Oreochromis niloticus: one gene and its partners. The protein of the gene in region 1 binds, or shares a complex with, the protein of each later gene. Links are inferred from orthologs where the notes say so. Each region holds a gene or a part of one and is shown in the gene's direction. Other genes may lie near its edges. The genes, in order: ncapd2, smc2, smc4 and ncaph.

What was found.
Region 2: ncapd2 (region 1) and smc2 share a complex: the UniProt entries of both Homo sapiens proteins name them as parts of the condensin complex. The link is inferred for Oreochromis niloticus from reciprocal best matches to the Homo sapiens genes NCAPD2 and SMC2.
Region 3: ncapd2 (region 1) and smc4 share a complex: the UniProt entries of both Homo sapiens proteins name them as parts of the condensin complex. The link is inferred for Oreochromis niloticus from reciprocal best matches to the Homo sapiens genes NCAPD2 and SMC4.
Region 4: ncapd2 (region 1) and ncaph share a complex: the UniProt entries of both Homo sapiens proteins name them as parts of the condensin complex. The link is inferred for Oreochromis niloticus from reciprocal best matches to the Homo sapiens genes NCAPD2 and NCAPH.

Annotation. Positions count from the first base shown.
Region 1 is NC_031976.2:23,069,347-23,076,943, forward strand, and holds the start of ncapd2 (condensin complex subunit 1), read left to right. Parts: upstream 1-4,580; 5' UTR 4,581-4,729; intron 4,730-5,172; 5' UTR 5,173-5,174; coding exon 5,175-5,292; intron 5,293-5,910; coding exon 5,911-5,986; exon of another isoform or gene 5,987-6,000; intron 6,001-6,063; coding exon 6,064-6,122; intron 6,123-6,255; coding exon 6,256-6,431; intron 6,432-6,488; exon of another isoform or gene 6,489-6,801; intron 6,802-6,891; coding exon 6,892-7,037; intron 7,038-7,529; coding exon 7,530-7,597. Other genes in the region: ing4 (inhibitor of growth protein 4), read left to right, coding at 156-322, 430-544, 660-771, 853-997, 3,511-3,572, 3,681-3,720. UniProt on the Homo sapiens protein: Regulatory subunit of the condensin complex, a complex required for conversion of interphase chromatin into mitotic-like condense chromosomes.
Region 2 is NC_031971.2:23,782,972-23,790,379, reverse strand, and holds the start of smc2 (structural maintenance of chromosomes protein 2), read left to right. Parts: upstream 1-4,396; 5' UTR 4,397-4,561; coding exon 4,562-4,729; intron 4,730-5,296; coding exon 5,297-5,446; intron 5,447-5,540; coding exon 5,541-5,663; intron 5,664-5,754; coding exon 5,755-5,793; intron 5,794-5,878; coding exon 5,879-5,989; intron 5,990-6,082; coding exon 6,083-6,127; intron 6,128-6,246; coding exon 6,247-6,480; intron 6,481-6,681; coding exon 6,682-6,831; intron 6,832-6,930; coding exon 6,931-7,164; intron 7,165-7,356; coding exon 7,357-7,408. Other genes in the region: exoc1l (exocyst complex component 1-like), read left to right, coding at 46-168, 401-576, 1,675-1,944. UniProt on the Homo sapiens protein: Central component of the condensin complex, a complex required for conversion of interphase chromatin into mitotic-like condense chromosomes.
Region 3 is NC_031979.2:23,949,614-23,956,599, reverse strand, and holds the start of smc4 (structural maintenance of chromosomes protein 4), read left to right. Parts: upstream 1-3,984; 5' UTR 3,985-4,140; intron 4,141-4,207; exon of another isoform or gene 4,208-4,230; intron 4,231-4,824; exon of another isoform or gene 4,825-5,504; intron 5,505-5,513; 5' UTR 5,514-5,523; coding exon 5,524-5,665; intron 5,666-5,803; exon of another isoform or gene 5,804-5,921; intron 5,922-6,647; coding exon 6,648-6,838; intron 6,839-6,986. Other genes in the region: ift80 (intraflagellar transport protein 80 homolog), read right to left, coding at 139-207, 342-452, 2,503-2,724, 2,949-2,985. UniProt on the Homo sapiens protein: Central component of the condensin complex, a complex required for conversion of interphase chromatin into mitotic-like condense chromosomes.
Region 4 is NC_031977.2:6,091,800-6,099,607, forward strand, and holds the start of ncaph (condensin complex subunit 2), read left to right. Parts: upstream 1-4,787; 5' UTR 4,788-4,938; exon of another isoform or gene 4,939-5,008; intron 5,009-5,902; 5' UTR 5,903-5,907; coding exon 5,908-6,125; intron 6,126-6,259; coding exon 6,260-6,350; intron 6,351-6,494; coding exon 6,495-6,587; intron 6,588-7,266; coding exon 7,267-7,384; intron 7,385-7,543; coding exon 7,544-7,695; intron 7,696-7,808. UniProt on the Homo sapiens protein: Regulatory subunit of the condensin complex, a complex required for conversion of interphase chromatin into mitotic-like condense chromosomes.

The DNA of each region.
Region 1 (7,597 bases):
ATAAGAAAACTGAATATCCAATTGTGTTATTTTAAAAAACATTTTGACTTATTTGTGTGAGGTATTAAAATTATATTCGTAATCACAGACAGCATTGTTTAGAAGTTCTTCTCATCTTTTTTAAAAAAAAATTATGATTATTATTATTTTTTTAGATCTTAAAGGCCAGATAGACTCTCTGGCTAAAGAATACACTGCCAACGCCCGGACTCTCTCCTCTGAGCAAAAGCTGTCCATACTGAGGCAGATCCAGCAGTCATACAGTAAATGCAAGGAGTTTGGAGATGATAAGGTGCAGCTGGCCATGCAGACCTATGAAATGGTTGGTATCTTAGAAAATAAACATATTTTAGACATGTTTATTAGAAGAAATAACTTTATAAATACACTGCCCTGTATTTGAGTAAGCATGGCCTGAATTTTGTGCAGGTGGATAAACACATCAGACGTCTGGACACGGATCTGGCTCGGTTTGAGGCTGACCTGAAGGAAAAGCAAATCGAGAGCACAGACTATGATTCCACCTCTAGTAAGGGGAAGAAAGGTGGGTTAACACTGTATTTGCCCCCAGTTTTTTATTTTGTTGAATTAGTTACGTGCTCAGTTAAGTAAATCCATACTCATTATAATGTATGTCTTGCATGCTTTTGTAATCCCAGGAGATTCCAGGCAAAAAGAGAAGAAGGCAGCTAAAACGAGGTCTAAAGTGAAGAGTTCAGATGAAGACGGCAGTCCTAAGAGTGCACAGAAGAAAGTGAAACTCCTTCAGCCGTATGTTGGGCACTGTTTAGTTTTTGATGGTCTCGTCATTGTTATTTCTTTTTCTCACACACAACATTTTTTAATCATCAGAGGAGAATTCAACAGCCCTTCTTCCAACTTTGGGAACGTGCACCCATCCGATGTGCTGGATATGCCAGTGGACCCCAACGAGCCCACCTACTGCCTATGTCATCAGGTCTCCTATGGCGAGATGATCGGCTGTGACAACACTGATGTGAGTTTTGTATTAAAATGCCCTCTTACACTCAATCAGAGGACACATGAGATCGGTATAGACACAAGTTTACATTTAATGTTGATGAATGTGTGTTGTCGTTTGAAAAGCTACATGGTTTAGAGCACAAGTCTTTAACAGAAAAAGAGCGCAAGTGTAGCAACCAAAATGTTTACACTGAAAACTATAGCAAATAATAAAGTCTTTGGTTGACTTTCTGTTAGGTATAAATCCTTTACAGACTTCAAATATTCACGTATTTTCTTGTTGTTCATCAATGTGAAGAGGCTCATTTGATATAAAATCAAGAAAATATGAAAATACTTCCCATCTGTATCACATGTTTTTTTGTTGTTGTTGTAGGTAAAAAAAAAACTGAGATAGCTGGGTTAGGCTCCAGCCCATTTGTGACCCTGAATTTGACAAACACTTAAGAAAATAAATGCATGGATATTACTTTAATCGATTTAATGAAGCAAATCAAAATTTAGGTAATTAAATACTATCAATGTATTTTGAGTTACAGGTACTTAAAGCACATAATAGTGGGCAGAAATTTTGCACATCTTTGTTTGCCTCATTTTTTTTTTCCCCCCAGTATTTTTCAGCCATCAAACGTCAGAAGAGCTGTAGCTAAACGAAAATGTTAGGGCTAAAAAACATTTAAGCTCTGTGAGAAACCTCAACCAAATCAATTTTATAACCCACTTCAAGTGTCATAATATGAAGACAAATCATACAGAGTAACAGAAACAAGCACTGGTGTTCTGAACGCTTTATATATTTTCTGATGTTTTCTGGCTCTTTTCACTGGAGAAAAGAGCATTTTGTGTAAACACACAGAGGAGGCTAGACCACAGAGGGTCTTGGGATGCTTTCTTTGCAGTTTCTTGCTTCATTTTGCTTGTGACAGTTGTCTTTTGGCATAAGATGGCATGTCCCTTTTTATTGTCTTTACTGAACTTGAGAGGGAGATGTCCGGTTGTTTGGGTTCAGTGTGCTGTCCTTATCTGCATATCCACTGATCCCATTTTGTTTGGCAATAACAAAATGAAATATATTAATCATTGCCCACTTTTATTTGAGTTATGTTCTGTTATGTTTCAATATGAACCAAATGAAAAGAGGTCTGGTTATAGTGAAATACTCACACACATCCCTCTGATGTTGTCAGAACCACCAAACATAGGGAAACAGGTTTTTTTTTTTTCATTTAGTGTTTATGGCCGGTATATTTTTAACTTGGCAGAATATACATGTGTTTGTTTTAACCAGTTACAGTATGTGGAAAGGTTTTTTTTTCCAAGATGACTGGTCTTGTCAGTTTTTAGCTTATTCTACAGGAGAAGAATGTTCATAATTGGACACATCAAGGAAAGGAGCATAGAAAAGAGAAGAAAATGAGGCTGCATTAACAAAAATACAGCAGCTACTTTAGTAGTTTAGACCTGTTCAGCTGTTCATTAATGCAAAGAACTAATTAGCCAGTCAATGACAGCAACTCAATGCATGTAGCTATGGTCAAGGACCTGCTGAAGTTTCATCTGAGCATCAGAATGAGGAAGAAAGTTGAATTAAGTGACTTTGAATGTGACATCATCACCATCGTGGAGCTTCATGGATATGCGTCTGACAAATCTGCAGCAACTGTGTGACGCTATCATGTCAGTTCGGACCAAAATCTCTGAGAACGTAATCAACACCTTGTCTCTGTGCCACAAAGAACTAAGCAGCTCTGAAGGCAAAAAGAGGTCTAACTTGGTACTAGCAAGACCTACCTAATAAAGTCTCTGGTGAGTGCACATTTATGCAATAAAGGCAAAGCCAGACGGTTGTGGAAAATGGTTTAATATGTAGTAAATCACCTTCTAGTTCTAATTTCCCGTTACTTATTTGCTTATAATGGCGTTTTAAGTGGATGGAGCCCTGCTGTTATCAGATTTAAAGATCCATCTGTACATCTTAACAAAGGAAGAGAGGTTGCATTTGGAAGTGAGTAAATGACAATGTGTCCCTTTGTGACATTTAATAAAGCGCACAAAATGTGGTACCTTCACTGGTCCCTTTAATGAAGGAATGATATTATTTATTTTAATATCAATAAATACCATCCACATATCAAAAAAGGTCACGACTGTATAATTGTATCATACAGAGCTGAATCTGCGAGCATTAAATCAGATTAATAATAAAAAATAGAAGCTGAAATGGTATTATGTGTCTGTTATACTTTATAAAGTGCATGTACAGGCTCTCTCTTACATACATTTCCAAGATGCTAACCATAAATTAAGACGCTGCAGCCCGGTGCCACTCGCTGTGTGGATAAGGTCACAGATGGCAGTGTGACTGATTTATTAGCAGAAGCCACACTGTGAATATTACATGTGATGGCTCTTTTTGAACAGATTGTTCTCCATCATGTGTTCTAGAAAAATGTGATTTTTGTCTGTCCCAACTGCTTCATTTGCACAAGACTTACCAGTATTTTTTTTGTTTTTGTCTTTTTCCAGTGCTCCATTGAGTGGTTCCATTTCGCATGTGTGGGACTGACAACCAAACCAAGAGGCAAATGGTAAAAAAAAACTAAAGTGAAATTGAGACTGTGATCTAATTTAACAAATGTGTTCAGTCAGAGTGTTGAAAGTATGCACCCTCACCACTCTTCATTTATGCTATGCAGGTACTGTCCACGGTGCTCTCAGGACAGAAAGAGGAAGTGAGAACACCTGGTTCTCCTGGAACGAAACACGGACTCTGATCAGATGGAAAATGAGAAGAATATTTCTTCATTAGTTACTAGAACTTTTTGTTTCTCATCTTCCTTAACATTTGGTGCTTTTTAAATTTTGGTTTACGTACTTGCCTTGGTCTGATGCAGAATGTTTGAAGGAGCCAAGTGTTACAAATGTATTTAAATTTTGCTTTTTAAAAAAACAAAAATGGTTAACACTAATTTTGAGTTTTTGTTGTTACCTTTGGTGCTCTTTTTGTGACTTTTTTTTTTTTTACATTTTATTTTCTGAGTGATTAATAAACACTATAACTGCCCATAATGGTATGACATTTGAATTTTCCATAATACTCTATACCGTATTCACATGTACAACTACAAAATTGTATTTTCTTCCAAAAAAAAGACCATGGATGATTTGATGCTTTGTCATATGGTTAGTTTCTTGTGCTTAGCCTTGGAACACTAGTTTAATTTTTCGATATAAGAAGAGGGAAAATTTTAAAAAAAAATGCTGCAACTTGACAGTATTAGTCACCTGTGGTAGTGAATTGAACCATTTCATTTTTAACATTTGACTGAGTGCTGCATAGGAAGTAAGAAATTTTTTTTGAAAAGTATTGTCATTTCTGTAGCTGAAATATTGGTACCGGGGAGAGGGGGTGATTGTGTTTCAATCATTTGAATACAGCTACTACCTCAAAAACCTTTTCTCTGTCCTCCTTTGTGTCTCTCTCCGTTTTTAATTGTGGTTTGTAAAGTTTCTGACTTTGTGCTGTAGTGCGCACGAGCGTCCGGCAGGTGGCAATGTTCGGTCAAACAGCAGCACGTCAACGTGGGCGGGGTCATGTGACGTCAGAGTCTCCGCTTTGGCGCGGTGTCCGGACAAATTTGAAAACTTGCTGGATTTAGACCGTTTGTAGACGGTGAATACTAACAGGCTACGCGTGTTTCTGTAGAGGTCCACAGTTTGGCTAACAGGAGTACATTTGTTACGGGTGAGCTTTATGTTTATAAACTATAAAAAGTTAGTAGTTTGTTGTTGAAGCCATTTCCGTTTTACAATAATGTAACTGCGTGCAAGATACTGAGCTAGCCCTGCTAGTTAGCTCGCTAACTGTATTAGCAGTAGCTGTTTTGCTTAGGTTAGATAAACCCACAAAAATAAAGGTTACTCTTTGGTAAATAGAAGTAATTCTTATAACAGTCACATGGGCTGGAGTGTCTTGGAGAGTCTTAAGCTGCACTTTAGCTCCTTAGCTAGGGTCAAGAACAAGTTAAATTGTAAATGTGTTTAGTCGAATATTCGACTATCTCGCTTTGTAAAATAGTAGGTAGCATCTTTAGAAGTAATATCAAATTCTTTCCCAAGAGTAGCTAAGTTAGTTAAACATGCAAATAAACGCTGTTTTTGTTTGTTTGTTTGTTTTAATTGATTCAGGGATGTCGTGGGACTTCTTTGTACCTGTGTGCGTGGGGGACCTTGTGAAGACTGGAGGGATCAACCAGTACGTCGTTCAGGATGTGGTCTCCGCAAAACAGCTCCCGTCCTATCTCAACAGTAAGTGGTCAACATGTAGCCAGGTCACTGATATGTTTTGTTTTGTCTTTTGGGGGGGTTATTTATTTATTTTTTTTAAACAAATTGTAGAACATCGGCACAGAAGTCATCGCTTTTTCTTCAAACACCTCCAACAAGTCATTACCATCCAAGAATTGTCCTGGGCTAAGAATCTGTCTCACTATGTTTTTACTACACCAACCTGCCAGAGGGTCTGCAGATGGAAATTACCTATAATCTGGCATATTTGCATTTGATAAAATGTTTATTAATGTGTATTGTCCCTCTTTCTAAATAAAATAAAATAATTATAATACTGGATTGCACCCAGCTTCTTCTAAAGTGTTTATCACCATCCCTTAAAACAAACAGTCTCCAATAAAGGGGTACTGTGATCTCTGAAATCTCAGACATAATTATATGAATCCTTCCAAAGATTCCTGCTCTTTTACCACACGCCCAAGTAAGGTTAATTAAAATACCTATGTACTTGCATTTTTTGTTTTGTTTTGGGGTTTTTTACCCAAAATTACAAAATGTTGTCACTGTTCAGATACTTAGCAATGATTGTACTAGTATATTTATTTGTTTATTTTTTTTAAATTCTGTTTCACACAGAATTCAAGGCAGCATTAAGGAGTCAGGGGCCTTTGTGTATACTGGAGCACTTCGACACTGGCTACAGTGTGCTGCAGTAAGTGTCTTCAGGTATTGCCCACTTTTATTTATTGTGATTATTACTGTACAAAACAACTGTCTTTGCTTCTTTAGGCACTGTAAGTCGGTAGATCTGGCTGTGAAAGAAGATACTCTGGAATTACTAGTACAAGGTTGCTTTTTTTTTTTTTTTTTTTTTTTATAAGAAAAAATATTTTCTTAATGTTTAAATTGATAACTTTGATATGTTGATGTGCTCATATAACCTGATTTTTTTTTTTTTTTTTTATACCCCTTGCCTTTCAGTGGTTAGTGGGTTGTCTGTTTCACTGCCGAGCATCCTTGTCTCCACCTCCCTCTCAGCTGCAGAGCGCAAGGAAAAACTTAACGCAGTTAAAATGAGCGTCTTCCTGCTTTGCAAACTCACAGAGAACCTGGAGAGTGATTCCTATAGGCAGAATATTGTCACAGCAACTGGGAAGGTATGCTTATTGCTTACCTAGCTAAAGGGTTCTTTGCATATGTCTGTTATGATAAATGTCCACTGATGAGCTTTGACAAGCTTTATGATTCAGTCAGACTAAGATATTAAGTCTCTAGCCTGTTGTTATGTGGGTAATCTTGGTTGTGTGGTAGAGTGTTATTGCATTACTGTAAGGGCCCACCCAGAGTGAAATTGACATTTTCTATGCTGTGCCACCTCAAGAGAAATTGGGTAGTATAAGCAGGAGTTGTCAAACAATGTGTGGATGTTTGCCATTGTGTGCATATTGATCAGCTAACAAGAGGCTATCAGTCTCTGTATAGTTGGTTTGGCTGGTGTGAATTGTTTTCTTTGGTAATCTGAAGACATCTATTGTGATTTACTTGATCTCATTACTATATTAAAGATTTCATAGTCCAGCATCTATGAAGCTTAACTGCTCTTTTTATTATGTACAGGGTGGTAAAAAAGGCAAAGCAGGTGGAGAAGGACTCATGCAGTGGGACTCAGAAAGAGAGCAGGTGCTACAGGCACTTGTGCAGCTCTTCCAACTGGACATCCGTTCACTGTGGAGCCTCTCCTTGGTGGAGGAAGAGTTCATCAGGTACTTTGCTGTCAGGAGAGCTCTGGGAGAGAATACAGTATCACGTTTTGCTGGTTTAATTCAGTTAATTGGTGTCATTTACAACTTATCCATATCACTTCCGAGCATTCGGAACTCTGTAGCCTTAATTGTAACTCTTATGACAATGATGTGTGCCTCTTCATTAATAATCTACAATATCTAATAAGGTTAGAAGAACTTTGAACTGTGGTAAATTGCCTAATGTAATATTTTCTTTATGCACATTTCCTCACTTTCCACTTGTTTTATGGTTCTCAGTAAGGATAAATTGTTTGTCAGAAGACATTTATGTGGTAGTTTAATACTCACAACACTCCTAGCAGCACTTACCTCAGCTTTTAACATGCACTATGTGTATCTGATATTTCTGATGAATTCAAAACCTTGTCTACTATTCATTGTGGGTTTTTGGTATCCAGGTCTTACCATAATCTAATATATAAAAACCCACACACATTTCTCTCCTCTTAGCTGTGTGACCTGCTGCTGCTACAAGCTCCTTGAGAACCCAACCATAAGCCATGTGAAGAGTAAACCCA
Region 2 (7,408 bases), on another chromosome or scaffold:
TTGCTGTTTTTGGGACGCTCTGATTCTTCTCCCCCCTCTCTCCAGTGATGTCGTCTCTTCTGAGGGAGGAGATGCAGAGAGTTTTGTTTCGACCTGCAAAACAGAGACTGGTGGAGTTCATTGAAATTGAAGAGCCATCGCACGGAAGACATTTTCTCTGTGCCTCAGGTAAACAGCTTGATTGTTGACTCAGAAATATGCATTTGATTTTTACACAGGAGTAAATATCTTCCTCCTTAAAATGTAAATGTACATTTTTAATGTCTTTAATAACTCACTTCCTTAAAAGCTGTGTATACCTGCACCACACAGGGTGTGTTAAATCTATAAGGCTGGCTTGCTGATGAAAAGCCCGGTGCTGCAGTGCACCTGTTTGTGATGTTTTTCCATTTTTCCGCAGTTGCAAAAAACAAAGAAGTCCAGCTATGCATAGTGCACTGTCAGATGTCTGTGCCCCTAAAGTCTGCATCCAAGAGATCCTTCACCAAACGCTCCTGCATACAAGAGTGCTACCAGAGGACAGAGATCTGGTCCCTGAAAGACCTTACCCTGATTGATGGAAGAAATCCTGACGTGGTAATTAGCCAAATTCTTCTGTAACTTCCACTGTTCTTAACTGGCTACAAATAGAGACAAACTGTCTTTTGGGTAACTGTATGTGGATGGCATTCTTGATGAGCGCATAGAACGCATAATAAAGATTTGTAGACATTTTGCTTTATCAGTACCTATTAACTAAGTAATTAAAATGTATTTGTAAAGCGCATTTAAACACAGTTTTCACCAACCAAAGTGCTGCACAAAGTCACTGACCTTTGACCACCACCATAATGTTCGGTTTATGCCACAGCCGCACTAAATTAACAGTGTTTGTAATTATTCATGTCATTTTCTATGTTTCTGTCATGTTTAATCTACCAGTAAGTAACAAGCTCTTTAATGAAAATGATATTTTTAATGCTAAAATTGCTGTTGTTATTATTATTTTTAGCTGTGATTTATATTAAAGCACACAAATTTTTTATTTTATTTTATTAAGATGGCAAATTACAGTGATTGCATTCCTAAACAGAAAAGGTTTAGTGATTTAATGTTATGCGGTGTACTGGCGTTTTTCGAATATAAAAATGTGAACACAAATTTTGTGTTTGCCTAATAAATAATGATATAACTTTTACTTTTAAACACGTTTTTGACAGATTTCTAAAATATTGGTGCTTTCATGTTTTTATGACAAGTGGTCTAATAAATTTGTTAAGCATTGTATGTATCCCACATACACACACAGGCATGTAAATACATTAAGAAAAAATAAATAAATGAATTTAAGATAATACCAAAGTTTTATCAGAAGCTACTTAGCTATTTAATCTTAGATGAGTCATGTTATTAAAATCTTTACTCCTGCTCTGGCACCCTCCCGTGACTCATCAGCAATAAATTTGACAGTGTTATTTATCTATTTTTCACATTTTAATTAATCGGTTGCAAAATTTCTACAGTTGCTTAAACACATAATATTTGTGGACTAGGGACAAGGTAAAGAAGAATGGTCTGTGGTCATTTGGCTTTAGTTGCCCTATAATAATGTAGGCTTTCTACAGAACAAACACAATAAAAAAAATGCAGTGATTCTTAAAGGTGCTCCATAAATATAATTTGCTTTGGTTTCAGGATGACCCTTGTTTCCTGCTGCACTTCGACGAGGTGCGTACAGTGACGGCCATCAGCTGCTCAGCCAAATACGCTATCGTGCGTGCCCTGGTTGCCCTCAGTGACCGGTACTGTCAAAGGTCACTGAACCTGAGGAACTTTGACTGGCCTTACATCAAGCCCACCTCCTTCTACTCAAACAAAGGGGACTGCGCTGTTCTGTCACAGATATGCTTCTATGCGATCAATTTGGTTTGTCTCTCCATGTGTCATGTGCCTCTGGATGGATAATAAAAGTACACAGTTGTTGTGAGAGTGCCAGTTAAGGTGGGTGTTTATATTACAAAGTTGCAGCAAATACTGTACGTGTATATTACTTATATCAGTTAGTGAGAAGCAAATGTAGGCTCGTAGCTTCAGTAAGCTGGGCTTTGAAGAACTTACAATGAAATATGTTTTGCATTAATGCTCTGCTGAATGTATCTTCATGGCAAATGCTAGCTATGTGCTATATTTATCATCTAATTTTGTGAACTTTTAATTATATAACCCTGAAAGTATTATATTCCATGTGCTGAATTTCAAAATAAATGTAGCACAAAACAAATAAAGCAACTGCAAATTCTTGCGCTTCTTTCTCCCTTTACCCTTTTAAACATAGGGTACGAATCATTTACCCTATGCTCTTTATGCAGTGCATAGTACTGTTAACAGTATATGTCACAGGGAGCTGCGCTGCAAAAATCTCATTTATTTTAATGAACCTTAAAATGTATTTGGTGGATATTTCAGTGTCTGATTCCAGTATACTCTATGCCATTTCTAGATAAATAAATGATTAGGTATTTCCTCACTAGATGTATTACTCCAATGACGAGAGGCTTTCAAGCAACATTTGAGTACATGCACTACTGTGCAAAAGTCTTAAGCCACCCTGTCATTTCTTTACATTTTACTAGGAAAATGGGAAATAGATGCAACAATTTTTTAAACATCTGCAAACACGCACAGAAATACAATAAACAGTGTAAAAAAAACGAGTTTGTACAATTCCAGTGAGCCTGAGTTAAGTTAGTTAATACTAAGTTATTATTCTGTATGACCAGCTTTTTTCTTTAGCATAGCCTGAATTCTCTTAGGAAAACTTGTAATTTCTGTAAGTAGTCTTTAGGAATAGTTCTCTGGGCTTCTTGAAGGACATCCAAAACTCTTCTTTGTATGTTGGCTGCCTTTTCTTCCATTCTCTGTCAAGACGATTCCACACTGCTTCAATAATGTTGAGGGCCAGACTCTAGGGAGGTCGCTCCATAGCTGATAGTGTTCCACTGTAGGTTTTTCTATCCAGATATGCTTTTAGTGCATTGGCAGTGTGTTTGAAATGACTGTCATGCTGAAGCCCCTACAAATCAGATGCTTTCAAGATGCCTGCGTGGTGGATCAGACTCTTATGGAACTTTTCTGTGTTAATAATTCCATTCATTTTGACATGATCCCAACACCACTGGCTGAATTGTAGTCCCAAACCATGACAGAGTCTGTACGGTGTTTTACAGATGGCTGTACATGCTGTTGTACCTTTTTCCTGACTTCTTCTCTACATATTAACAATGATTTTTTTAAAAATGGTTTCATCACTTCATAAGACCTCTTACCACTGATTTTCAGTACAGTTCTTATGTAATTTAGCATACCTCAGCATTTTCTCCCCGTTTTCCTTCCTTAAGAATTGCTTCTTGAAATTCACCCCTCCACTGAGACCATTTCTGATGAGGGCTCAGCCAGATATCTCTGAGGTCTCGGCCAGACCTTCTTCAAACAGTATTTCTTTAGGACATTATTTTCAGATGTGCTGCAGACGCACACACACACACACACACACACACACACACACACACACACACACACACACATATGTGTGTGCATATATATATATATATATATATACACACACACACACTACACACCATGCCAAGACGTGCAAAGTTTTCAGTTAATAGGTAAATCAGAAAATATTACTTCATGCCTGTTCAACTGTGTTATCTTTGGCATTATATTACAATTACAAGAAGTTCTGGCGGCTTGGAAGCAAAAGATAAAGAAATTAGGGGTGGGTCAAGACTTTTGCACAATAGGTTACATAGGTTAAATAACTGTGGGAATAATTAGTATTTGAATTCAAGGCTATAACTTCTAGTCAATGCTTTTAGCGAGAGGAGCTACTTTTCGTTATTTAACAGTCATACCACCGATTTCTCTAAATCCCAAGCGGGAGAGCAGCCTCATAGCGCTTCTAAGTGACAGGTTTTTCAATTTCATTTAATATTTCGGATTTTATATAAAGAAATATTTAATATTTAATGACGCTAGATATTAGCGTCATTAAATTATCTTTATTAACTAAAACTATTTTTAGTATAATGCAGTATTTTCTCGACCGGACAGGTTGACTCGGGACGATTTTACTAATGCACTTGTACTTCATATTCGTATCTACTACAGGTGGCGCCAACACACACGTCTAAGAGTTTTAGTTGCCTTAGAAGTTGCCTGACGAAAATAAATATATGTCGCAATAAATATTTAAGAATCGTCATTTCTTTGATTTTACATTGACGTTTATTTATTTTAAAATTTCATCATTATAATATACTTGTTGTGTGTCTGCATATTTTTCATGTAGTAAGTTTTCTTTGTTTTGTTTCCGGCACACAACGGACGCACGCACTCGCGGCTCAGGGTCTGCACGCCTGCCGCCAAAATTCAAGTTAGAGGAGAGAAGAAGCAGTTTCCCAGTTGTCGGTTGTAAACACGGGGCTAATATTTGATGCTTTCCGTTTAAGGTGGTGGTTTGTCACTTGGCTATAACAAGTCTTGCCTCCGGAATCAGCGGAGAGAAGAAACTCGAAAAATGTACATCAAGTCTATTATTATCGAAGGATTCAAGTCCTACGCGCAAAGGACGGAGATCAACGGCTTTGACCCACTCTTCAACGCCATCACAGGACTGAACGGCAGCGGCAAGTCCAATATTTTGGACTCGATATGTTTCCTTTTGGGTATTTCAAATCTCACCCATGTAAGTGTGCTGTTGTGCGTAAGATAGCTTAAAAGCTATCAAATCCAGTGTTACAGTTGTTTATATTTGATTACTTAGAGTTTTTGTAGAGTTTGGCAGTGGTTGTATTCCTGTCAGTAACAAGCGAAAGTCACAAATTGTTATAGTGCTTAAAACTACTGTATTTTGCGAAACAAATTTAAAATAAAATGAAGTATGAATACAAGAAATACATCTAGTTTTAGTTTCGTAGAAGCTGTCAATAGAGTAAGCATAAGGAGGCATCGACACTTTGAGACTGCGGTCGCTTCGTGACTGGAAGTAAATAGCCGTCACGATTTGTTTATAACAATATGGTTCTCTCATAGCAAGTGACAAAAAATAATACAATAAAATAAACATATCCTTTCTGAAAACTGACTCAGGTCAAACTGAACTGCCACAAAAGTGAGAAACAAAATATGAAGAACAACTGTTGAAAAATACGAAGCTGCAGTGACTCTGAACTGAGGTTAACTAAGTAAGAAGCATGTGTAGTTGTTTCTCATTCAAAACTTGCATCCCTTTTTGTTTCATCTCATCTGACAGGTGCGAGCCTCCAACCTCCAGGACTTGGTGTACAAGAACGGACAGGGTGGCATCACAAAGGCCACTGTGTCCATTACCTTTGACAACTCCAACAAAAGCCAGAGTCCTCTGGGGTTTGAAACACATGATGAGATCACTGTTACGAGACAGGTGGGGAAAGAAATAAAGGAGGAAAGTCTCTGGCTTTAGGGTTATTATGCAGTGCTTGTATTAACACGGATATACTTTTTTTTTTTTTTTTAAGGTGGTAATTGGTGGCAGGAACAAGTATCTCATCAATGGAGTCAATGCCAACAACACCCGAGTGCAGGACTTATTCTGCTCTGTTGGTCTTAATGTCAACAACCCACATTTTCTCATCATGCAGGTCAGTCTTGTGTCAGCTGTGTAGTTGTGGTTGTGAATAGATATGATCTGTCACCCCATTCATAGATTTTCCTTTTGTTTTAATACATTAGGGGAGGATTACCAAAGTTCTGAATATGAAACCACCAGAGGTAAGACAAACACGTTGCCCATTAGGAGGACCATATTTCCCTCCCTTCTTAGGACTTCTAATATTGAATACTTTTATTCTTTCAGATCCTTGCCATGATCGAGGAAGCAGCAGGTACCAGGATGTATGAATGTAAAAAGATTAGCGCTCAGAAGACCATCGAGAAGAAAGAGGCCAAGCTGAAGGAGATTCAGACTGTATGTTAAGTCACTCTGACTATATCACTATCTATACTTGTTCGTCAGCAAACTGCTGCTGAAGCAAACCATTTATTTTGTTTGCTCTTACAGATTTTGGATGAGGAAATCACTCCAACCATGCAGAAACTGCAGGAGGTAGTTTGGCATTAAGATTTGAACTGACTATCTCTCTCCACAGGTTCAACCTGTGAAGCCTGTGTTCTTTTTGTTTTTACTGTTGTAATATCCATTTCTGAACCTTCCTCTGTCCGCAGGAACGATCATCATACCTGGAATACCAGAAGCTGATGCGTGAGATCCAGCACTTGTCGCGGCTGTATGTGGCCTGGCTGTTTGTGTGTGCGGAGGAGACCAAGCTGAAGTCAGCAGAGAATCTAAAAGTGATGCAGGACAACATCGCCAAGATGCAAGCTAGCATGGCAGAGAACGAGAGCAAAGTCCAGGAGCTCACAGCCCAGATTCAGGAGCTGCAAAAGGAAAAAGACCAGGTACTTTACACTGGAGAAGAAAGGGAGCGATAAGAGTAATTTAAAAAATTTTATCACAATTTGAATTTTTATATAATAGTGGGCAGATTTTGCAATACCTTTGTTGAAGTCTTTAAAATAATTTGTATGCTATAGGTCCATTCTTTGTATGTTTTAATCGAACTGCAGCAAAGTAATCCATATCAATCTGCTCGTCTGTAGGAAGTAAATGGAGTATTAAAGTCCCTTGAGGAGGCTCTAGCTGATGTTCAGCGTGTGGATGCCAAAGCTCAGAGTGCACTTGACTTAAAAAAATCAAATCTCAAAGATGAAACCAAGAAGAGGAAGGAGCTTGTAAAGAACATGGAGGAGGTAACAGACTGATAAATCGTGTTATTCTATGACTTGCAAACAAGGGTAATCTGTACATCTGAATCATTTATTCAAACTGTTGTTTTCCTTCATCCACAGGACAAGAAAATGCTTGTGGTGAAGGAAAAAGAGGTTTCTGTGTTGACCAAGCAGCTTCAGGCTCTGCAGGAGGAAGGAAAGAATGACAGCGCTGCCCTTGAAGCAGCTGAACAGCATTTCAAAGCTGTGTCTGCAGGTCTTTCTACCAATGAGGATGGAGAGGAAGCCACACTCGCAGGCCAGATGATGACCTGCAAGAATGACATGAGCAAAGCAGATACAGAGGCCAAGCAGGTGACGAAAGCAGACGGACAGATGTCTTTAGAGTCAGAGTCTTGCTTTAAGAATAAATATTTTTGCAGAAGGCTGATTACACGTATATGCTTCTGTGACTAGAAAACATTTTTTTCACTGACCTTATTCCCTGGGTTCTTATTTTATCATGAATTTCCAACAATTTCTTTTTTCTTCCTTATTTATGCTCAGGCCCAAATGACGCTTAAGCATGCCCAGGCTGAGCTGAAGACCAAACAAGCAG
Region 3 (6,986 bases), on another chromosome or scaffold:
GATCAGTTTGATCTGCGTTTTGCTTTGCTAATTAACATTTTAGCGCTTAAATAATAAATGAAAAGTGTGCAGTTTTGCACATGCACTAGATACACATTTGCAGCTCCGCTTCAGTGAAATTAAGGTTTTAAGCCTTACCTTGGCTGGCTAGTGTTGAGCGTAGCATCCCACTTTTTGACCAGATTTTAATCTGCCCATCTTCTCCCGCTAATTAGAAAAACAACCAGAATAGACCTTAAAGACAGCTTGATTAGATTCTCATTTTGATTTAAAAAGGAAAAAAGGCTGATTAGATGAGTAGTTGTCAGATAACAGAGGAAATGAGTCCTAGTCATCTTTACCAGTGATAAGAGCAGTCCCATCATAGTTCCATCTTCCAGCCAAAACAGCTCCTTTGTGCGCCTCAACACTCTTCTCAATGCGACCCATCTTTGAGGTTAAGTGGAACTTTCCTGCAACAAATTTACAAAAAAACCCCACATAGATGGTGTAAAGCCATTCCACACACTAGGCCTGGGGTGATGTTGGTGTTTTCAGTTGTTTATAACTCAAATACAGAACTGAGCATTGTAATTCACTCAGTAAAGTTTCATAAATCTGTGGAATTCTAGTTACTGTGTAATAGAAAACAAGTTTTAATGGCCAAGACAAAATAGTAAAAATATATAAATAAATACGTATTTTAATCAAAACACACAATAACTACCAATGCATCTCCTAACACACAAATACAGACAAATTTATATTCTCTCCAATCAAGTAAATTACAAACTTCTGGTTTGAAGCAAATGAGTGAAACTAAAAAGGCCTCTGTTGGGTGAATTAGGGCAATTTTCTATGCGGTAGACACGAAAGGGTGATCAGCCATGGAGAGTTATTGAAGACCGTAGCCTACCATATACTTTGTGGCAGTGTGTATTAAAAATTCTGAATGTTCTATGTAATTTCTGGTGACCTAAAACTGCAAATCAGCATGCTGCAGTGCTCTCTCATTTCTAAATTTGGACATCCCAACAAAAGTAGATGTAACTGATCCAGCAGGTAGTCAGTTTAACAGGCATGTACAGCTGAGTGACTCTCTTAAATGAAAAGCACATTAGAAAGCCACATTCTACATAGGAAATGCTTAATTGTTTGTTTGCCTCTTATCTGGAAAGCCTCATTTTTTGATTTCTTATAAAAAATAAAATAAATAGTGATAATAATAATAATAACAATCGACCCTTTTAGTTTAGCTTTTCATTATATTTGGTCCTTTGAGAAATTCCTGGCAGCGCATCTAGACTTCCAAACAAAGTCTGAGAATATTCATCACACTTAATCGTACCCTCCTTGTGTCAAATCTGTCATACAATATAATTTCCAGCAAATGCCACGTATGAGCTATGCAATTCTGTGCCTTAACAGTGTGAACATATTGGGGATTCCAAAATAATGAAGTACGCTTATTAAGTAAATTTACAATATCAAGCTTAATAGGAATGAAATATTATACGAACTCCAATACCATGTGTGCTTGTAATTTAAAACGCTGAAACTGCTTAGCATCATACATTTAAAAAAAAAAAAAAAAAAAAAAAATCACAAATAAACTTGTAAAAGGGAAAGAAGGCCAACTAATCAAAAAAGGTTAGGAAATCCCAAAGATATAAAGTCTTCAAAACTAATAAAACCCAGGTGGACTGTTTTCTCTTCAAGTATGTCATACAATCTAATAGGAAATCCAACAAAGAATCCAGATTAAAAACTTTAATCTGGAGCAAAAGAAAGCTTTCAGTGTTTCAGTTAACAGTGAAGTCAAAATAAATGAATAAAACTCTGTTTCTATTCCCATTGCAGAACCAATAACTTTTGCAATACTAATATTTTTAACCGTAACAAGACAAGAAGCAGAGGAAAGTTGCAAAATGGATCGTAACACTTTTCACTAGTCTCTGCTCTGCCAGAGAAAATTGCTGCTTCAGTTTGTGGGTGTGTTTATGCAACCCTACACTGCCATTAGTGTTGTGACCACACATTGCCTTGCCATAACAGTACATCCATATTCTGTGTGTTGCATCTAACGCAGGCCAAAGAAGAGACATGTACGACAGATTCATGTCACACAAATAGTATCAACCAAGGGGTCGGTATTAGAAATCTACAAAACAAAAATTGAGTTTTAGACACAGATTTATACTGAATACATAAAAAGAAGAATTCAAATGGACTCTACTGGATCCTACAAGTATCAAATTGGTAGCGATTATTTCCCTTAAATATAAATAACTCTTGAATTGTGCCTATGTCTTCTAAAAAAATAAATAATCAAAAATTAAGGAAGACATTGCCATCCTGTAGATAGCCAAGTCTGTTACTTTATTTAATTTATTTATTTCATGAGAATGTCTTTAACTAATAAATGTATAGATATGACCAAAAAACGGCCACTCATTTTATGAATGAACTCTGAAATAAACCCTTTAACATTCGGGTCAAATTTCAGAGAATACAGAGACTTGCCATCTGTGCTGGTAAGAACAAAGATTTCAGCCTGGGCCTGTTTCTTCACACCAACAGTTTTGGGGAACCAGTGTAGGTCAGTAGGGTAAATTTCCTCTGGCAGTTTGACAATCAGACTGGTCTCACTGGTCAGCAGGTTCCACTTGAGAATCTGATGATCCTCACTGCACGAGTACAGCTCATCTGCTGTGGTCCAGCCAACGCAGCTCACAAGTTCTTTATGTGATCAGCTGTTAAGGAGTTATTAGTAATGAACTGATTCTAAAACCCTTTTTTGTGGTAACCTCTGCAATAAATTGGGTTTTCTGAAAAATGGACAGAGGTTAGAGCAACACAAGGATGGAAAATACTATCACTGCCTCAAATAGCACCACTAATAATTACGATTAAAAGTTCTGGAATTCTGTCACAGAATTACATGTGTTACATAATTACAAAAAGGATATGTTTGGATTCCTTTAGGAGCGACGTTTTCAGTCTCATGGTGGATGTTCGTTCTGTTGATCACTAAACGAACAGAAAAATGTCAGAGACAGTAACGTACCTGTTATGTTAAAGCTCTCTATATAACACTGTTGTCAAACCAACACAAAAAATAATAGTACAGAAGACCTGAAGCATGGGTGTATACAGCTTACCCGTAAACTATGTAAAGCAGCCGTTTGCACTCTCCGTTAGCTGTAACGATGAAACAAACAAGCGTCCGCTGTTGCTACGGTACCTGCTACTGTTGCTAACGGAAGTCCTCAGCTATCCCCTGAGTCTCGTCTGTGACTTGAATGCTAACGTTAACTTGTTCTCTTGGTTAAAATGGACATCGTTTTCTCGTTGCCGAGTGTACTAAGCGACTCTCAGCAAAACGTGCGTGTCATTTACTCTACTATGAAGCGCTATTAGAATACGCAAAAGTCTTATCTATCACCAATCAGCAATTTATGCCCCAACGTGTAAAACCTGCACTTTGGTAGCCATTTAATCTGGGTCATAAACAGCTTGAAAAACAAATTATCGCGAGAGTTGCATCTCAACTTCCTTGACAACGGAAATTTCGAAATATTTCTAAGTTCAAAAACGACATCTGTTAAATAAATGCATTTATGCAAGTCGTTAGAATCGGGATCAACCAACACTAACAGTTGATCTATCGAGCTATATTTCCTCAAGTATAGACATTGCCCGGGGCAGGTCCTTTATCGTACCACAGACAACCGTTTGAAGACGTAGGAACAACATTAGGCATTTAATAAGAATAAACTTGAATAATATGAACAATTTGCTGTAAACGCATTGCATGGCTCTTATTCCTTTTCGTTTGTTCTTTAGAGTCGTGTGAATGCGGTTTGTTTGGAGTGAGGCGGAGTTGGCTTCGTCCCCTTTTTTGAATTTCGTTTCCCCCCCCCTGCCCTTTGAACGTTCCATGGTGCCTTGCGTCAGTTTGTAACGAATTTGGTTCGACAGCGAGGTTTAGGCGCCATTTACAAGTTTGAGTTATCAACTAAGGAGAGCGAGTCGGAGTGACACGGGAGTAAATTTTTTGGATTATATTTGCCAAACTTTGGATTGACGATTATTTTTTGCGTAATAGCGACTGTGGTCTGAAAGGAAGACTCTTGACAGATCGTGGTTATAGTGTGGAAGGTACATGGAAGTATTTTAGGGGAATGTAACGACTGGGTTCCATCTACTTGCTGAAATGTATTACGTTTGAAGAGGGACTTAACAGTAACGGCAAGTTAAACTAAGGTTTAACGTTAGCTTCTGATTGAAAGCGAGCGGACCATTATTACACATACTAACAGAAATAATGAGACCTAATCACTTTTCGTCTTAACTTATATTAAACCCACAGTGACACTCACTCTTAATAGTGACATTTCCGACTCGTTTAAGTAATGCTCGCGTTGCTAATAGCTCATAACCGGCGGGCTCTAATGTATTTACTCGTTTAACTTTAATACTAGGGTTAATAACTCCTTTCATTTCAGATAACACGTTGACGTTGGATAGGTTTTGCGTTTCATTTATGCCGACACTCCATTTGACTTTATAGAGCCCAGCAACTCATACCTTTTTATAGTTTAAGTTAGCCATTATGTTAGCTTTAGCGTCGCAGCGATATTTCACTTCATATAGTTAGCCAATCAGTTAGCAGCAGTAGTAGTAGTATAGCTAACTTAACGGTAACGTTAGCAAGTAAAAACAGCGTGGCAGGGTTTGCGCTGCCATTGCCAAGTTACTTATTTGGCAAACGTGAATGTAATTATAACGTTATGCTAACACGGGTAAAGTTGCATTAGTTGTTTGAATGTGCGTACCAATTACCTAGCGAGTTAGGTTGGCTCGTCTACGCCTCCGCCCCAGCAAAAACGTTGTGGGGATGAAAGTTAATATTAGTGTCGGTTTGAAACCTCGATCAATTTAGGACGTTGGGTCTTCACCACCAACTTCAGCCAAACTTCAGCCACATTAGCAGTGGCAGTGTAACGCAGGCTAGGCTAAGAGAGCTAAGGGGGAAAATAATTAGGCTATTTGCACATTAACTGAGTCGTTTTTCACTTGCTGTGACGTTAACCTTATTTTTGCTGCGTTATTTACCGCCTAGGTTCGCGAGGCAAAATAAAATGCATGATATAGATGCAGATGCCTACTACAATTATTCTGTGAAAGGATGAGATTATTATTTTAATATAGGTTATTTTAAAGAAAAATGATGCTTGATTTTAAACTTGAAATAGCTTATGATTCTGTGCAGTCATCGGATTGGTGCTATCTCATTTTAACGTTTTCAGCACGAGTAACTCGTGTAATGCTGGACTCATTGTTGTAACAGCAATGTTAAGATATGCAAAGTATACCGATTAACAGTTAGCTGGGCGTCAATAGGATCTGACTGTGGTAATGATTAGAGCCTGACAGAGAAGCTGCGTGTAACCGACTAAAAGTGGAGTTGAGAGATTGACAGGCACAAAAACCACTCATGGATATTCCCTTTTTACCAATGACCCCTTCAGATTTCAAGTCATGCCATCTAAAACTGCAAAGAGCTCAACTGCCTCCGCCAAGCCAAGAGGGAAAGGGTCGCAGTCTGACTCCGAAGACGAGCTAGATGTACCCCCTCAAGAAACCAACTCCAATGGCCAAGAGGAGGCACCGCCGAAAACTGGCAAGTAACAAAGGGTGTTTTGGTGTCTGTGAATCTAAATAAGTTGTTCAGTCAAAGCCTTTGCGTGTATTGCTGTATTGGTAGGGGCCAATTGGCACAGCTGTAAAGCTTTTTTTTCCCCTTCTTGCTTAAACAACACGGAGTTAGAATGGCTGATATATTTTTCACTAAAGTGCCAGTCATCAATAAAATGATTTTGGAGATGATTTTGATAACGCCGAGTGTACTTCTTCCCCGGATCTTCTCAGCAGACGAGGTAATTTATTTCGAAAAATGAGGTGCTTTGTGTAGTAGATCAGAGCGGTGTTTGACTTAATTCTTGTAAGCTTGATATTCACTGATTTCTATGCGAACCTTATAAGATGCACATAAGCAGTGGGTAATGTCTGTATTTTGTAGAATATGTTGAAATGCTTCACTGGGTGTCTGGCTGCGAGGTTTTAATTGACAAACATCGACATCTTTGCTTGTTTATGCTTATGTGAGCACAATAGATTTTGGACAGGTCGTTGTGGCTTGGTGTGATGGCAACATAATCGTTTCTGCGTTACACATTATTATCACAAAACACCCGTTTTCCTGTTTCTGTTTGAGCACAGACAGGCATGAGTGAAAATGTGACGCTGATGGCTGAGATTTCCACTTTAGTTATTTGTCATCGACAATGTGGCGCATCTGAGTACGTAGAGAGCGTTTGGATTATAATGTGGGTTCGTTCATAAGCGGCCATGGTCTCTTTTCTTTTTTGGGGTTGGCTCTTGTTTGCAGAACAAAGAAAAATAACGCCTGTCAACTTTTCTTTCTGGAGTCGTACTTTGACTGCTCTTGTAACTTGGTGCGTGTGTTTTGTTTGTTTTTGTTTTTTTGTGTGTGTGTGTGCGCGAGTATGCTTCTCTACCCCTCCCCCACGTACAACTGCCCCCCCCCCCACCTGAAACGACTCGAACAGAAGAATAAAAGTTGTACTTTTTGTGTGCCACAGATTCGTCTCACGGGGAAGCTACCGAGACCGTTGATAATAGAAGTTTGGAGGAGATTGTCGGTAGCATCCCTCCACCTCCGCCCCCAGCAATGACCAATGAACCGGGCGCCCCTCGCCTGATGATAACACATTTAGTTAATCGAAACTTTAAATCATATGCAGGCGAGCAGATTCTGGGGCCTTTTCACAAGGTACGACCAAACATGGTTACACATGTAATCCCTGCCTGGGAAATACTCTTCTGATGTGTCACAGATTTAACATCACTTGTTGTGTATCCCACTCTTAATTTAATTTTTTTTCTGTTTAATTTCATATGATATAAACTCATAGATTTTT
Region 4 (7,808 bases), on another chromosome or scaffold:
CTGAGCGCACCATCCACTCCGAGCTCCCTGCCCTGCACTCAATCTACAGCAGGCGGTGCTGGGCCAAGGCCAGGAAGATCGTGAAGGACCTCAGCCATCCCAAAAATGGACTGTTCTCTCTGTTGAGGTCAGGAAAGCGATTCCGCTCCCTGAAGACCAACACAGAGAGACTGAGGAGGAGCTTCTTTCCGCAGGCGATACGGTCTCTCAATCACACCACCACATAGTACTGACCCACACATATGGTTTTTACACACACACTGGACATTCTGCACATTTGTTTACATTTGTTTACATTTGCCATCTTGTTATTGATTAACAAGATCACTCTATCACAAGTCACTTAAATAAATCACTTTTAAGCATATTTGCACTGCACAAGACACTTAAATATGTGGGTTGCACAACCCTGGACATTACATTTCTTTCATTACCATTTATTACTCGTACAGCTGCTCTTATTGTTCTATATTTCTTCATATATTCTTCTATATTTTCTATATTGTGTATTTTGTTGTACAGTTATTTTATTTTTAACTTTAATTTTTATATTTTATTTTATTCTTTCCTAGTTAAATTTACTCTTCATTTTAATTTTCATATTTATTTCCTATCCTATTCATAGTCTTTTATTTTAGGTCACGAGCAGTTGTCTAAGCATTTCACTGCATATCGTACTGTGTATGACTGTGTATGTGACAAATAAAATTTGAATTTGAATTTTGAATTTGAATATAATGTTTCTTCTAGTATTAATGACCACAAACCCAGCAACACAAAGCAAAGCTAAACCAGCTCAAAGAGACTTTGAAGCGATTGTCACAGTGATTCTACTCTGAAAACACCAAAAGGTACAAACGGGAGCTACAAGCCGACTCATCACTGAAGATCAGGCTCTGCTCAGCACACACTCAGCTGTATCATCACGCTGGGTTCTTGGCTAGCTTGTTCGCAAAGAGCCAAACTTGCGTTAGCAGTATACATTGCTTCTGTCCTGAATGCAGTTTGAACTTTAAAATCACACTCTTGTGCTTTTGAGCAATAAAAACAAAAGTAATGTCCACATTTCTGCTTTTGACCACCCCAACACTTTTTTTCTCTTCCACACAAACTAGTGGTCTGTGGATCGATACTGAAATATCAATTCTTCCAGTACCAGATATTTATGTTCTAGAATCAAATCTCATCTTAAAATATCAATATTTTAGTAATTTGGGGTAAATTTGTAGTTTTTCATTAACAAGAACACAGTAGAAAGTACCTGTATTATTGGGACCATCTGAATGATTGGTAGGAACTACTTCTTCCGCCTGTCATAGTGAAATACCGCTGTATAAATGCATCATGGCTCACGTGTGCTCATTCACTCACTTGGTAAGGTCACAGAACTGTTAAACACAAACAAAAGTAAGTTATCACACAGAAAATGATGACGAGTTTATGATGAGGTGAACTGAAGAGGAGAGGGACAGGTGCTGCTAGGGTGATATCACTCCCAGATAAATGGATTATATATGCTAGGTGTCATTGAAATATACAGCATACTTACAGTAAAATAGCCTTGATAGACTTTAAAATATAAAAATACAACTTAAATATTTCATACATAAGACAGATAGATAATGACAGGCATCTATAAAACGTCTCAGCTGTATTATTATTTTCAGTCGGTCACATTTGTTTTGAGTGATTGTTAATTGAATATTTTCAAATGGTATTGACTTTTGGGTTTTTTTATTTTGTATATGGTAATTCTTCATAATCAAACAATAAGAACAAGTAGTCTGGTCACTTGTATTCATTGTAAAGGTATAATTTGAAATACACTACTTTTTATTTAGATTTTCCAAACACATTAGGTTTTTGTTTAAAGTATCAGTAGCCAATCAGTATCATTGATACTAGCCGGAATTTTACTGGGGATCAGATCAGAAAGGAACTCAGTGGTTATTGCACATCATTAACACAAACTGAAATCAGCTGATTGCAGCGCAAGTGCACAGAAAGAAAAAAGTGTGCTTGTGTGTTGTTGTTTTGTTTTGTTTTGTTTTTTCTTTCTATCCACCTCATGCAGAGAATTGACCAACTTTTCCAAATAACATCATAATTGTAACAGTAACATAACAACTGAATTTAGTGGATTAAATCATTACTGAAAAATGTACACATGCAGTATCAACACAATAAGCGTTCCAGCATTAGACAAACTCAAACAGAATTGATTCCAACATCCATCAGTGTTGTTTCCTGGGCTAAATCTGTTTGGCTACTCACTCCTTTATTACTCACTCCACTCACGCCTTTATTTAGCCCCAAATGATCAAGCTGTTTAAAACAGCAAATGCACTAAGGGCCTGCACAAAGGCCCAGTATATGATAAACAAAGCTTTTCGACTGGGAATCATGCAAAGCTACTTCAGCACAGTCCAATAATAACATCAAGCAAAAAACAGCAGAATTGATATGTGTCTGTCTGTGTCCTGGAGAATAAACATTGTACATGTTTTATTATTTGGTAGAGTCAGCCCTGGTCTTACAAGAATAAGATCTCTTATACTGAGGACACAAGTGTCTGTTCCTCATTTAAAGAGTGAACTTCATAACTATTAGACTTTGTTAGTTTATAGATATGAAAAATAAACCACCACCTCTAACGCTGAGTGACTATTTTGACTGAGAAAACATTCATATTAGGCCTCCTTCACTAACATTTCCATAGAGATTTTCTTAATTTGCACACTAAAAAGGTGTAGGTGCAAAATTATCATCTTCTTCAGGACACGTGCACAGCAACACCACAGTTTCCAGTCTGTTGGATCCCCTCCACCTCCACCCCTCCCTTCAGGAGGAACGCGCTAAAATTGCTGCAATAGAGAAGCCTAGCCACTGATGCAAAAATGCAAAAGAATTTTATGACTAGAGAAGCTGAAACCTTACTGTCCAAGGTGGAAGTCAAAATATGCATAATGTGTAACATGTAAAATAAAGTGTAAATATCAATCTGCTTGTATACCTTCATACTGAAGTTGTAAATCCAAGAACAATGAAAGGCCATCAAATTCAAAATTTGGAATAAATTTAGCTAATGCATTAGTTAGTTACTTAATTAGATTAGTTATAACATTGTTTTCTGTTATGACCTTAAATTGAATTCACTTTTAAAATGGAAAGCATTTACTTTAAATATCCGTTTACATTTTCCAGGACAGTTGGGCTGTTATTTTTGTGTACACAACTCTCTGAGGACACTCTTATTTGGTCAGATTCTCCAATTGGGGAGCCATCTGTGTGCTAAAACTTATGCATTTATGCTTAAATTCTTTTGTGACTCAAGCTTCTTTCTCTTGCCTTACAGACACACTCACTACTGGTGCAATCAAAGATGTTCACTGCATGGGCAGAGGGTACATCTCCAAGGAGTTAAGATAATACTCTGATCAACCCTGTCAAACATCACTGAAAGGCATTTTTTCTGACTGTGTCAAGCTTACTCATGGAAACTGGAATGAACTGGCTAATGTTTAACTTTGAATTTTTCCCATAGGTCTTTTGCAGAAGGTCTCTATAGACAAAAACAAAATGGGAAAAATTGAGCAGGGTTAGTGTCACACTAATAAAGGAATGTAACTGGCATTTCTCATTTGAATGAGAATATTCATTTAGAGGAAATCCTATGGGATTGTGTCACAGTTATTACTTACCTAATTATTACTTCCCTGAAAACTGATATTTAAAATTCTGGAAGTAGTTTAACAAAATTTTGACTTTCTTATATCAATTCTGAATCCATTCACCGTTCAACTTACCAGCAACACAATCTTGATTGTCACTGCCATCTAGTGAGTAGCCAATGCACTGCCATTATTCTCAGCCAGTCTAATGAAGCAAAGCCGCTGCTTCATGTCATTAGAAAGATTCCTTTTGCTTTAGTTTTTATTTCAGTCAATAATTATAAGAGAAATAGCTATTAATGAAATGTACTGTGCAACTTGCATGCTGCTTTTCAGTCTTTACTTTAGTAGCTGAATGTCAGTTGATGTTGTTAGAGTTGCGGCTGTGGCTGTCAAACAATATCTATCAAGTGTCTATTAAGTGATAGAAGTAAAAAGAAAATGGTTCCGAGCAAAGTGCTCCATCCTGTCATGCTAAAAAATGAAAGTGACAGCATGTGTGCTCTCTTAGCTGTGCAGGAATTTTGATGAAACATGGAGAAATGGTGTTTTGCTTTAGTGTGATGTGAATATCAATATATGTTTACTGAGTCACAGCTGCTTAACTTCGAGACCCTAGCCTCACATGTCATGCTTGATCTGTGATTATTACAGCAAACACTGTTTCAGTATGTCTTCACATACAAAATACACTCAGTCAGTACCAGTTATTCCTCTTATTAAGGAGCAGACCACTTAAACATTAAAGGATTTACTGACTCACTCGTCAATGATCATGGTAGTCAAAAGATCATTGCATAAGGAAGACATGGTGGGGGATGCTATTATGGTATTGAAAATGAAAAAAAAAACCTGATTATCTGTCATAAAAACTGATGAACACTTACTTTTTCGTGATGTAATGTTTTTATTAAACAATATCATAAAATAAACAATTCAACGAAAACTACTTTATGTTAATATTAAAGAAGAATTATTATAAACAATTATTATAATTATTAAAAAGAAGAAGAATCATTGAGTTTTATCTCAAGATCACTGTTTTCATAGTTTCCTTGGGGGTCATTAAACTACTCTGAATCTGATTTTCACTTTCTCTCGCTGTGGTGGGCGTGGTTAGCGTCATGACGTAGGTTGCTGCTACGTAAACCGTTCGGCGCAAAAATTCAAACGCTAGACAGGAAGAAATTTCCTGCTTGTTCTTTCTGTCATATTACAACTTATAACGGGTCTACATAAGTCTCCGTCGGATTTAAGGCAATTCTTGGTATGTTTTGGGGCTGAAGCAAGTCTTGTGATAAAGTTTTTATTTGTTAGTAAGCCTGCTAACGCTAACTGTAAGAACACGTTCATACCGAAGTTAGGGTTGTTATGCTAAAATGCATGTAAAGTTAGCTTAGTTAGCGTGAGCATGTAAGTGCGTTTGGGCAGTACATGTGCTTCTTACGTGATTATTTTACTAAACTAGCTTACCAAATATGTTGTGCTAAGATGGCGTTTGCTTTCTGAAAACTTACTTTAGTTGAATGTATATAACCTTTTCACTGGTTTAATACTTTATTGTAGAGTTCCTTTGTTTATGTGCGAGTAGCGTTCAAGCTAAGCTGATGGAAATCCACATTGAAGTCAATGGATATGAGTCTACAAAAGGAAGGATTCGCAGACTGTGCTGTGCTATACTAATAAATGATGAACCCTTAAAGTAAACAACGTTGTTTCGGTAGCAAACAGGCAAGATTGATGCGAACTTAACCCTAGCATATCATACTTGCATAACCAGAGCCAACATTAAGAGTTTGTCTTGTCTTTTTTCTCCCAATTTCTTTGCCATCATGAGACCACATTCTCTCTCCTTATTCTCATTAGTAATTTTTAAACTTGGCTTAAACTTTGTTTTCCTTTGTAAGTTCCAAACAGCTGTAACAACACAAGCACAGCACTTTGTAAAAACAGCTGATTCACAGTTATGTTAGCATCAAATATATGCCTCATCCCGTGGGTTGTATTGACAGATTTCACCACCGATATCCATTGAGTTACTTTTAATATTTTTCCTAAATTCTAGATTTTATTTGAGTTGCCTGCAACAAATAGTTAACTGAGCCAAGTTAACTTTCTCTCCTGCTTCAAATTGATATGTGTACGGTACATTCAGAGCGCTGAATTCTGCTCTTTAAGCACTATTTCTTTCCAACCCCCTGTTCAGTCCAAACTTCTTTTCCTATCTCCAGCAAAGATGAGCGGAGCCTCCACACCCGTCTCCCGAGTACAACCAGGATGGATGTCATCCTCTTTGAAGAATAAGGGTCTGTCCCCTGCAGGCAGCAGCACTCCACTGCTGTCAGCTTTCCCTGGAAACGATGATGAGCAGGAGCGACGTCAGCGTAGGAGGTCAAGAGTCATTGACCTTCAAGCTGCAAGTGACTCCTCCTTCAATGACTCTGCATCTCACAGGTATGCTGTAGATAATGGCAAGACTAAAAGTAATTTGTAAAAACATTTTGTGCCATGGCTTTGACAAACAGTACCTGTCTGCTTGGCTGCTATGTATCATGAGAGCTCAAAGACAATCTCATTGTCCTAATCAGCACTGTGGGAACTCCTGCTGCTGTGCCCAAGTTGTCAAATGCACAGATCTCAGAGCATTACTCCACCTGCATAAAACTCTCCACTGAAAATGTAAGTATTTGTATGTGTATGCATTTTCCTCTTTTCCCTTTACAGTAAATGTCCTTTGTCTTTCTCTGTGATTGGTAAATGAAAAAATATGGCGAAATACGGGGCAAATAAATGAATTAAGTACTTTTTTATTCTTATCGACAGAAAATCACCACCAAAAATGCATTTGGTCTGCATTTGATTGATTACATGGCTGATATTCTCAAACAAAAGGATTCAGAGCTCACCAACTTCAAGGTATGTGTAACTGATTCTTTCATTCATCATTTTGGTTCTCTAAAAGTCTTTGAACTGATTTAAACATTTGAATGAAACATCATGATAAATAGTCAAAGGAGTTCGCAAAGAAAAGCGTCTGGACTTCTTTAAGTTGCTTGAAGACGTTTCACCTCTCATCCGAGAAGCTTCTTCAGTTCTAAGGTCAAATGGCCGAGAGTCCCAGATTTAAACCCATTTGACCTTAGAACTGAAGAAGCTTCTCGGATGAGAGGTGAAACGTCTTCAAGCAACTTAAAGAAGTCCAGACGCTTTTCTTTGCAAACTCCTTTGACTACGATGACCTGGATGACTGAGAATCTTCACAGACATCATGATAAATAATTTTCTGGTTGTTGGAGAACATAGAAATGTTGTTTGGGTTTTTTTTAAAGTGTGTTTAAAATATCAGGAGAATATATTTCTTGGACTCAGCACCCACCTGACTTGTTTAAGTTAGGCGGGTGCTAACACCAGTTTGATTTTAATTCAGGGAAGCAGAATTTATACAAAATTAAGGCTGCATTCTGTCCAGTGTGATCTCTCATCTCACAAGCACCACTCATTCTGAGAAAGTGCAGGATTCTGTATTAATCTAGAGTATTTATTATTTAGTTTTGCAAGCAGTATCCTTCAATATTTACATCTTTTCATCCTAAAGGTGGCAGCTGGCACTCTGGATGCCAGTACGAAAATCTACGCTGTGAGGGTGGATGCTGTTCATGCTGATGCCTACAGAGTGCTGGGTGGTCTGGGTGCTGAAACCAAACCTGGAGAGGGTGAGAGTCTCTGTATTGTCGTTGGATTTTCTTTTAACCATACTTGTGCTATGGCTTGAGCTTTCTGGCTTTTTCTAACACAGTTTTAAAGTTGTTGAACCCACCTTCCTGTACTATTGAAGATTTTCTGCTTTTTTTGAATTCTTTATGCATACACAGGCCATGGTGCAACAGAGGAAGATGGAGATGATGCAGGACTTGCAGGAGGTGAAGTCACTGCCAAGCAGCCAAAGAAGAAAAGGCCTCCCAAGAAGACAGTAGAGCAGAACCTGAGCAACATCAACAGTGCTGAGTCTGAGAGGAGATGTGAGGTATGTAGAGGTCTTAGCAAAGTAACTAAAATAGTGCACACCTCAGTTCTTTTTTTTTTTTTTTACTTTTTGAAATAACAGAAGTATCGTTCAGGGCTTCGGGACCACTATGC